Oryzias latipes: one gene and its partner. The protein of the gene in region 2 interacts with the protein of the main gene of each other region in a biochemical or structural test. Links are inferred from orthologs where the notes say so. Each region holds a gene or a part of one and is shown on either strand. Other genes may lie near its edges.

Region 1 (4,833 bases), on a different chromosome or scaffold from region 2:
TCACTGGTGCCTTTTGAAAGAAGGCCTGAATGCTCCCGCGCTGTTTACATGCAGAGTCTTGTTTCAGCTCAGAGGCCTGCGGAGTTGAGACTTTAGAGGTGGCGGAAACGCTCCGGCCTGGAGCGACGCCGGCTGAGAGAAAGCCGGCAATCCCCCCGGACGACGGCGCGTCGCTGAACTTGCTAGCAGAGAGGTGCAGCAAGGTGAGCGGTGGAGTCCTGGAGACACAAGACACACTTATTAAATAAATCAACCTGCAGTTTTATTGTCCCACTGCATTGCTCCCCCCAAATTACCATGCAGCCTGGTGGTTTCCTGCTGTGTTGAGGCTCTTGATAATGGCAAAGCTGTCACTAGATAGTTTGGCTGCCTCATAGTGCACCAAAGCGCAGCATCGAGAGAAGCTGCTGGGCCTCTTATCACCAAGCTGACGCACACCAACCGTCAACAACTTAGCCACTCGACCATTCTATGAGCAAAGGAACAAAAATAATAAGCTTTCACAACTAGAACGTCATCAGAAATACACTAAACAAAACTAAAGGCTCACCGTTTCTTTGTCTTTGTTCAGCCTTTCTTCCAGTTCCAGGGCCAGCTGATGAAGCCAGTACTGTACCTACACAGATCATTCATTGTTGCATTGAAGGGGACAAATTTCAGACAACGAGATGGAACATGCAATAAATGCGGCTCTACCTGTTCTTTAGTGGCTAGAGACGTCTTTCCAGGGAAGTTTTTACTGCAGCCAATAGACTTGGGAAGCTGCCTGGGCTTAACAGCTTCAGACTCGACCCCTCGGCACAAGTCATAAAGCCACTGGCTGCAAACAGAGATCCAGAAGGTGTGATTGACCCATTTCATAGATTTTAGTCACCTTTTCTTTTGTTTTTGACTATGAATGACAGCCATATGTATCTATTATATCTGAACTTGTGTCATTTTCTTGTCATTTAGTTTTTGTGCTTATGGTTTAGTTTTTGGATTTTAGGACATGTCATTTGTTTTGCTCCATTAGTCTTTCAACTCTGAAGGTCTAATCATTTGAATTAAAAAACAACTGTATCCATAAAGACAAAGCATCTAACATTTCAAAATTGCAGATTATTGTTCTTACTCGTCACTTAACCGGCTGCAAACAGAGAGATGCAAATACAATAAAAAGAGGGGGGGGGGGGGGGGCATATATCTAAAAAAAAAAAAAGTGATCTTGGTCAGACATATCACAACAGTGGCTTTCTTACCCTGTTTTTTCTCCAAAGTGCTGCACCAGTTGGGACTGAGAGAAGCGAGTGAGATCTCCCATGTTCTCCACTTTCAGAGTTTCAATTATCGAAGCCCCCATCTTACCCCCCAGGTTCCGACTGAACAAGAAGAGCAGCGTCACCATTTGCTTTTATTGTGCTTTTATTGGAGTGAAGCTTTAGACTCACATCTTGCCAATGGGCAAAGAGTTGAAAAGCTCCGTCACAGATTCCAAAGGCAAGACGGTTTGTCTGTTGGGTTTGTTCAGACCGCAGGCGAGCTTAGCCAGGACCTGAAAAAAGAAAGCTAACCTTAAACTGTTGCTACTGATTTTGCAGAAAAAAAGATTTGGCTCTACCTTGTTGTGAGATATTCCTGCGGAGCAACGGAAACCCGTTTGTTTCTCCACTGCAGCCCTCATCTCCTCAACAATGAGCGCTCCCATGGTCAGCTGCAGTTCTGCACAATTCAGCTCCCCTGATGAGGGCGTAGGTAAGGATTCCATCCACTGCTGAAGACCTTTGGATCTCAGCTCCTCTGCAGGGAAAAATGATGAGTAAATACAATCGAACCCCTTCATTACCTCTGGTCTAAAAAGAAAAACAACCAACAATCTTAAGAAATGGAATAATACATCCTAAAGTTAGGTCAGAAGTTACCTTTATATAAAATCATCTCTTCTGGAGATGCATCTGCGGAGGGAGGATCCAGTCCACTTTGAGGATACCCCTGAATGTAAGTGGTCTTCAGGAGGCAAGGGCTCATTTGTTCCTCAGTCGTGGTCTTCAGCCGCTGCTGGACGGCAGCCGTCAAGTCCATGTAGGCCTCATCGATGCTGGCTCGCTCGATCACGGCAAAGCGAGACATCACCTCGATCACCTCCACGCTGGCATCCCTGTAACTGCAAACGGAGGGCGCTCGTACACGTAGCCTTCGCTCATCAGACAGGAGGTGGGTTACCCTCAAGGACTCCGACTTACTGGGTTAGGTCGGCTTTGCCGTGAGACTCACGGACTCGAGCCACCTGCAGATCCGGGCACAGCTTTTTTGCATCATCCACCCACATGTTCCTGGTTACACCGTGGGCTCTGGCTTCATAGCTGACAGCTATAATACTGATATAATAATAAAAATAAAAAAAGCCAGCAACCGTTAAAGTCTGGCAGCAGAGTAAGAGACGTTTTGTATTTTGAATAAACATTCATTATTACTACTTGTGGTAGTAATATCAGTAAATGCCACACACATTTCCCGCCTAAGTAGACCAGATTTAAATGAGCAGCCTGGACTAAATAGAGGCAGACGTAACTAACTTCCTGTTTTCACGGCTGAATGCAAGAGATGCTGCACGAAAGACCGCGTCTGTGATCTATGCTGATGGTTCCAAACTCAGTAGTCTGTCAGGAACTCACCCGCCACCCTTCCAGGTTTTGTACTGCGCCACCACACAGGGGGTGTTCCGCAGAGCTGGATTCAGCCTCTGCTCCACCTGGACGTAGAAGCAGTCCATGTCCACCAAAGCCACCACCCTCTCCTTTCCGTACTCCATGATAATCGAAGACAAGTAGCCTTTTCGACTAAATACGCATGCGTCCACTGAATGTGTGTGACTAGTTCATGGTCGGGTTTGAACTTTAACCATAACCTGTTTAGTTAAAGTTGACTGTCGCTGTCGCTACCCGATCTGTACAGGAAACATTCGGCTTTATAGCTTTATATTTCGGGCAGACAAATTTGCCTCTGGAAAAACGTCATCAACAGGCGACGATCGTTTTTTTTATTTTAACTTTATTGAAAATATAAACAAGAAATAATAATGATAATAATAACATGTTTTACTTTTATCAATAAAAGAAAAATAATGCGGGAACGATTGACCATAATATTTTTCCACAAAATTCTTGTTGTCCCAAATCAATGTTGTTTTTTAAAGAATCTTAAGTTTTTTATTATAAATCTATCTATGAACCAAACTCCCAAAAAAGAAGAAAGATTTAAGAAACAAACCAGCTTGTTTCTCATGCACGCGGGCTTATCCCGGTATTTTTTTTAAATAATAATTAATATTTTGGGGTAAAAGGGGATTTCTTTTTATTTTTTATTACTGAGACTTTGTTAGAATAAACACAAAAGTTAAGACAGCAGGGTACATTTAGGTACTTTCAAAAATGTATGGTTAGGAAGGATGCATTTCTAAATGCATTTCATTTTCCAAAAAGCATTGTTTTGTTAAAAAAAAATACTTTTTCAATTGAGTCAATTAGTCAGCATAAATATTTCAGTTGAAATGTCTGTGTTGGGATGATTACGACAAAGGTTTTAACATGAGTTTAAATGAGAACATTTCTTCACATTTTAGATAATAATCTAACTGATTTTAACAGCTGCAGTCTGTTAGATTTGCCTTTTTTAAACTAAAGCTTCACCTTCAAAAGACAAGACGTGTCTCTTTATCATTGCCACACTATTGTAGAAAACAAAATCATATTAATCTTATTTGACAAGGTTTTTCTTAATTTTTTGTTTGTTGTTGTTCTTCACTGGCAATTTCTAAAATTCTTTTCTGCAAAAGTAAATCATACTTGAGATCTGTCAGAGAATGTTTTCAAAATTAAAGAAACTTTTTTGTTTTAAAACTTAGTACTTGCTGAAAAATACTACGGAAATATTCGTTAGGAAATAAACTTCAACAATAATAAACAAAAAAGCAACAGTGAACATCACCCTGAATAAAAGTGGGTTTACATCTAAACGGTTCTGCAGAACATTTTCCCATTGCCAGGCACTCTTTATCTTATTTGTCATTGTTTAAATAATTGCTGGAAACAGCTTAGAGATGTAGTTATTGGCTTAAAAAAGGGGAAGTAGAAATTCAGTTAAAGGACAGATCCATTGCATCAGTTTTTGTTGCGTGTCTCTAACCATCAGTGACTCTGTCTGAAGTCCTTCACTACTCATATCGTTTTTAAATGGTTAGGGTTTAGAGTGGGAATTTGGACACAGCGTAAAATGATCTTTCTTTCCAATTGTTTTCTGATACTTGTTGGTCTAACAGGTAAGAAGAATCGTTAACATTTACTTTTATTTTTGTAATTAACATGGCTTACACTATCTGTGCTTCTCACATTATTTTAAATTATTTAAAGTACTTATTTGTCTTGACTTAATGTAAAAAAGTCTTTGGTTTGAATCAAATTGTGGAATAGCTAATGGTTCCCCTCTGAATACATTTTTTATTTTTATTTTTGCAGGAGTTTGCTATTGTAGCATAACTACAGTCAAAGAAACATCAGTGAAGCCCGGAGAATCCATCTCTATCCCTTGTCTCTATGAGTCAAAATATGAAAAACATGTGAAATATTTGTGTAAAGGATTTTATTGGGCCACTTGCTCAGATGTAGTTAAAACCAACAAACCTGACACATCTGGAAAGTTTTCAGTTCAAGATGACAAAGAACAGAAAACGTTCACATTGAACATTAACCATGTTGAAAGTACAGACTCTGATTACTGGTGTGTTGTGGAAATCGATGGCGGGGCTGATGTTGGAGAATATTTTCGTTTGTCTGTCTCTGGTGAGTATCTTTTTTC
Region 2 (4,810 bases):
ATCAGACAGGTGTGTGACTCACCTGCAGTCTTCAGCTGACGTCAGTCCTCCTTTTATAGGCCTTCCGCCACCCTCCCACCCCTAAAATCAGGGTTTGAATATAAAACTGCTCTTCTGTCACGTTGTTAATTTTTATAAAATCAATTGTAGATTTTGATCTGAAAACAGAAATATTTATTTCTCCTCCCGACTTTAACAAAATTTAAGAAACTTTAAATGCAAGAAAACTGATCAGCAATTAAAAAATTACCAAAACACAAAAAATGTCCGTGTCCGGAACAGTTAGTTTTAAAAAAAAAGTAAAAATTATGTACGACTGAGTTTTAGGGCCAGTTTACAAAAAAAAAAAAAAAAAAAAAAACTTTAAAGTCGTGATTAAAACAAGAGGAAATATTACCATGAATATTCCTAAATTTGTTAGAAAAAAGTAATCCGCAAATTTAGGATAAAAAAGTAGGACTTTAAATCTCGTAATACTACTTTTGTTTTGGGTGGCCCTAAAACTCCATCATAATTATGAAATCATATTGCATTCATTTGAAAAAGAGAATCTGAGGTTTTTCGGGATACTTTTGTTTGCGTTTTTTTTCCCCAGTGGATCGTAAGATAATTTTTTTTTTTAAAGTGTATTGCATTCAATTGTAAATGAAAAAAGATCATTCAAATCTTTTCCACATTTTCATTCGAACATGTTTAAGAACTACAAACAGGCTGGGCTCTAACCTCATCTGCTCATGGAAATTATAAGATGAGCAGAAAATGTGTTCTTCTTTTCTTTTATAATATGTTTTAGATTTTTTTTTAATACATGAAACGTTTTTTGTGTTTGTTTGCTTGTTTTAATTAAATGCAAAATGTTTCCATACTTTCATACTATGGAAGCACTTGTGTCTCATAATTAAAAATGAAAGTCAGTACCAGAAATGCCTTTTCATTTTCACAACAAAGCTGCGTTTGTTGACTTTGTTTGACAATTCAAGAAGAAAAAGAAAAAGCAGTTTGGCAGATTGATTTTTCATTTTATTTTTGAGTTGACAAACGCAGCTTCATTGTGAAAAGGAAAAACTGTTAATCTGTTAATCCATTTTAATTGTCAAATTAGATATTTCTAGTTGAATGTTGATACACATTTACTAGAGAACTTTTTGAAAATGAAATGTCAAACACCATTCTCTTTATCCTTTTATTAAAGGTGACAGATTAAACTTTGTTGAAGAAACGAAAATGCCGTTTGGCAGATTGATTTTTCATTTTCTTTTAAATAGATAGATATAGATAGATAGATAGATAGATAGATAGATAGATAGATAGATAGATAGATAGATAGATAGATAGATAGATAGATAGATAGATAGATAGATAGATAGATAGATAGATAGATAGATAGATAGATAGATAGATAGATAGATAGATAGATAGATAGATAGATAGACAACTTTATTTATCAATGGGGGAGGTTCCCGCATGGAAATTGACATCTCCATCGCATACAGCACTGGTTGACATACGTATATGAAAGAGCAGTACAGTATCCAGAAAAATTAGAACAGTAAAAACAGTAACAGTTTAAATATCTGCAGAACAGCATATACAAAAAAAAGTCATTCAGGCCCTTTCCCTTTCCTTTTCTGTCCCCCTCCCCCTTTAAGTCAACAAATGCAGCTTTATTGTGAAAATGAAAAAGCATTTCTAGTACCGACTTTTATTTTTTAATTATGCTACACAAACGCTTCCATACATGGCTTTCTTAAGGAGGGGGGAAATAGGAAATCCAGGTTCGTCTTCCACACCAGTTGGTGGCGGTAATGAGCTTCTTAGCTGTTTTGGCGCCGCTATTTCAACCACAGAAGAAGAACCCTGGCTGAATCTTTTACACTTCAGATGTTTTTACAAACTTTAGACTCATAAATAAAATGGACAGCAGCGATGAAGAGATGGACGGAGACGATGGCCAGTGGAGGAGCCAGTTCACGGGTCCAGAAGAACCCGCCACTTCCGGTAAACTCTGAAGCTTTAAGCTAGCCCGTGTCGGAGCTCGCGGCTGTCATGAACTTCAGTTGTGTCTCCGTTTTCAGGATGGAGCGTAAATAATCCTCCAGGAGCTCCTCACAGAGTAATTCTCCACTTTGACCTGGACTGTTTCTACGCTCAGGTGGAGATGATCAGAGATCCTTCTCTGAGGGAGGTTCCTTTAGGTAAATTCTCTGTTTTAGGCAATTTTCCACCGTTTTCTTGTTTCTGCTGCAGTTTTCTTTTTTGATTTCAGATTCCCGCCTTTCATGGAGTTTTTTTCTTCTTCATTTTATTCCATTTAGATGACATTTTACCGTTATGACCATTTATGGACATTATATAATTGCACTTCCCCACTAAATAATAAATTTATTTCCATTTGACATTTAATATTTAATGGATTAAGTGTAGTTTTTAATATTTCTGTGTATAATTAAAGGTAATTATAATGACCTCATTAACATGTGGATATATTTATATGGAGATTAATGTAGGCTACATGTGTGTCTATAAATATATTTGTGTATATTTCTATACCATCTTTTTCTTTAAAGGTTTTTTCCAGTTGTTTCATAGCAAATAACCCTAAGTTCTAATGTATTTATGTACAGATAAGTATTTATTTAGTTTACTTTTTTCTGTTTTAAATTCCAGATTAACCGCACTAGAGCAATCTGGAATAAACTGGATTAAAGCAAAAACACAGGAACAAAACTTTGTTAAACATAAATGTATAAACTTAATTTAAAGGACGAACAATACATTGTAACAGATAGGAAATCTCAGAGCAAAACTCAGTATCCAGGTGTGACTTAGTTATATACCTCTTAGAATTTAAAGTTGCTCAAACGATGACGTCTGTGTCCTCAGGCATCCAGCAGAAGTACATCATCGTCACCTGTAATTACGTGGCGAGGGAGCGCGGCGTCACCAAGCTGATGTCTGTAACCGATGCCAAAGAAAAATGTCCAGAGCTGGTTCTGGTCCGAGGAGAAGACCTGACGCTCTACAGAGAGGCTTCCCATCAAGTGACAGGCAGGAATCTGGAGCCGTTCTTAGGCTAATTAAAAACAGATCTACAGGATCAGATTGTGGAGAAGAGCGATCCTGAGACTCTGATTGACTTTACCTGCCGTTTTCCTCCTCTCAGAGCTGCTGTCGTCTTTCTGTCCTTTGGTGGAGAGACTTGGCTTTGACGAAAACTTCATGGACGTCACAGAGATGGTGGAAAGGCGGATGAAGGAGACGCCGCCGCCTGAAGGATATTCGTTTTCTGGACACGTCTACAACCCTTCCAGTGAGTTGGACTCGCATCGCTGCTGCAAACCGTCGCTGTCAGGAAACTGAGAGGAACTTGCAAATCAGGATATTTGCATGAGAATCTCGGTTTCTTTCCTGCAAGCGGTCCGTTTTTTGCAGAACGCCATGCCTCTGTGCAGACGCAGAGATCAGCGGCAGCGACCACCCGCGGCTGGCTTTGGGCTCCTACATCGCGGCCGAGCTGAGGGACGCGGTCCACAGCAGACTGGGCCTGACGGGCTGCGCCGGCGTCGCCACCAACAAGCTGCTGGCCAAGCTGGTTTCAGGCACCTTCAAGCCCAACCAGCAGACGGTCCTGCTGCCGGAGGACGTCGGCCACATCATGGAGTCACTGGGCGGAGTTCGGAAAGTTCCAGGTACGGAAAGATGGCCTCCTAAAAAGCAAACCTGTGGCGTGTTTGAGAAACTGTTCAACCTGGACGCTGCCCTCAGGTGTGGGGCATCAAACGGCTAAAAAACTCCACCAGCTGGGCGTGGTTAGCGTGAAGGACCTGCAGCTCCTCCCACTGCCTGACTTGGTGAAGGAGTTCGGAGGCGCTGTTGCTCGGCGCCTGAGGAATCTCTCCCTGGGTGTTGATGACTCACCTGTCACCCCCAGCGGGGCTCCCCAGGTGAGTCGGGACATTCGCTGAGCTTCTGACAAAAATACAGACTTTGATTAGATCAAAAAAGTAAAATATATACCACACAGTTTTTTTTCTTTTTTAAATGACTTTAATATGATAAAACGAATGATATCTGATTGAACACAGACAAAGGAAATGTGTCAGTTCTGGTTGTTTTTGATCTCAGTGCGGCATTTGTCCATTGGTAATTTCACATCTGAGCTAGCAGAAATTATATGTGGAGTTCCCCAAGGCTCCATCCTGGGGCCACTTTTTCTATTTAGCATTAACATCAGGGCTAATATATATATGTACATATAGTTTATATTTATACTTTTTCTAAAGTTTTTATTTGAATAATCACCCCTTTAATATTCTTGTTAAATATTTCTTTAAATTTTTTTGCCTGGAATTATTTTTGATCCCAAAATCACCCGAGTTAACGACATCATTTTTACTTTTCTTACAAAATAAAAGTCTTGTTTCTGTGATTCTGATACTTAAAGAGTTTCATTGTTGATTGAGGAGCAAACAAATAGATTTATTGACACTGTTTTCTATTACATTATTTTCTATATGATTTTATTTTATTGAGGTTCAAAGGAGTGAATGAAGAACTGAAGCTTCATCTAAAAACTCCTGTCGTGTTTTGTGCTTCAGTCTCTCAGCGATGAAGATTCCTTCAAGAAGATGAGCTCCGAGGCCGAAGTGGTGGAGAAGATCCAGCAGCTCCTCAGCCGTCTGGTGGAAAGGTCAAAGCAGCTCCAGCTGCCCTCACCGCCCACCATGTGCCAGCGCTTTGCTCCTCCTAACATTTCGGTCTTTTATTTTGGCGAAAAAGGATGCAGAAGGACGGCAGGCAGCCTCAAACC

What was found.
Region 1: the proteins of poli (region 2) and polh interact in far-western blotting, tested with the Homo sapiens proteins (2 studies listed by BioGRID). The link is inferred for Oryzias latipes from reciprocal best matches to the Homo sapiens genes POLI and POLH.

Annotation. Positions count from the first base shown.
Region 1 is NC_019873.2:20,691,770-20,696,602, forward strand, and holds the start of polh (DNA polymerase eta), read right to left. Parts: upstream 3,000-4,833; 5' UTR 2,792-2,999; coding exon 2,655-2,791; intron 2,358-2,654; coding exon 2,223-2,357; intron 2,144-2,222; coding exon 1,902-2,143; intron 1,780-1,901; coding exon 1,601-1,779; intron 1,535-1,600; coding exon 1,431-1,534; intron 1,362-1,430; coding exon 1,242-1,361; intron 821-1,241; coding exon 697-820; intron 617-696; coding exon 551-616; intron 470-550; coding exon 297-469; intron 219-296; coding exon 1-218. Other genes in the region: uncharacterized protein LOC105355791, read left to right, coding at 4,252-4,297, 4,494-4,817. UniProt on the Homo sapiens protein: DNA polymerase specifically involved in the DNA repair by translesion synthesis (TLS). Due to low processivity on both damaged and normal DNA, cooperates with the heterotetrameric (REV3L, REV7, POLD2 and POLD3) POLZ complex for complete bypass of DNA lesions.
Region 2 is NC_019867.2:1,943,705-1,948,514, reverse strand, and holds the start of poli (DNA polymerase iota), read left to right. Parts: upstream 1-1,785; 5' UTR 1,786-1,913; coding exon 1,914-1,998; intron 1,999-2,075; coding exon 2,076-2,195; intron 2,196-2,837; exon of another isoform or gene 2,838-2,883; coding exon 2,884-3,048; intron 3,049-3,163; coding exon 3,164-3,310; intron 3,311-3,452; coding exon 3,453-3,689; intron 3,690-3,765; coding exon 3,766-3,944; intron 3,945-4,598; coding exon 4,599-4,690; intron 4,691-4,779; coding exon 4,780-4,810. UniProt on the Homo sapiens protein: Error-prone DNA polymerase specifically involved in DNA repair. Plays an important role in translesion synthesis, where the normal high-fidelity DNA polymerases cannot proceed and DNA synthesis stalls. Favors Hoogsteen base-pairing in the active site.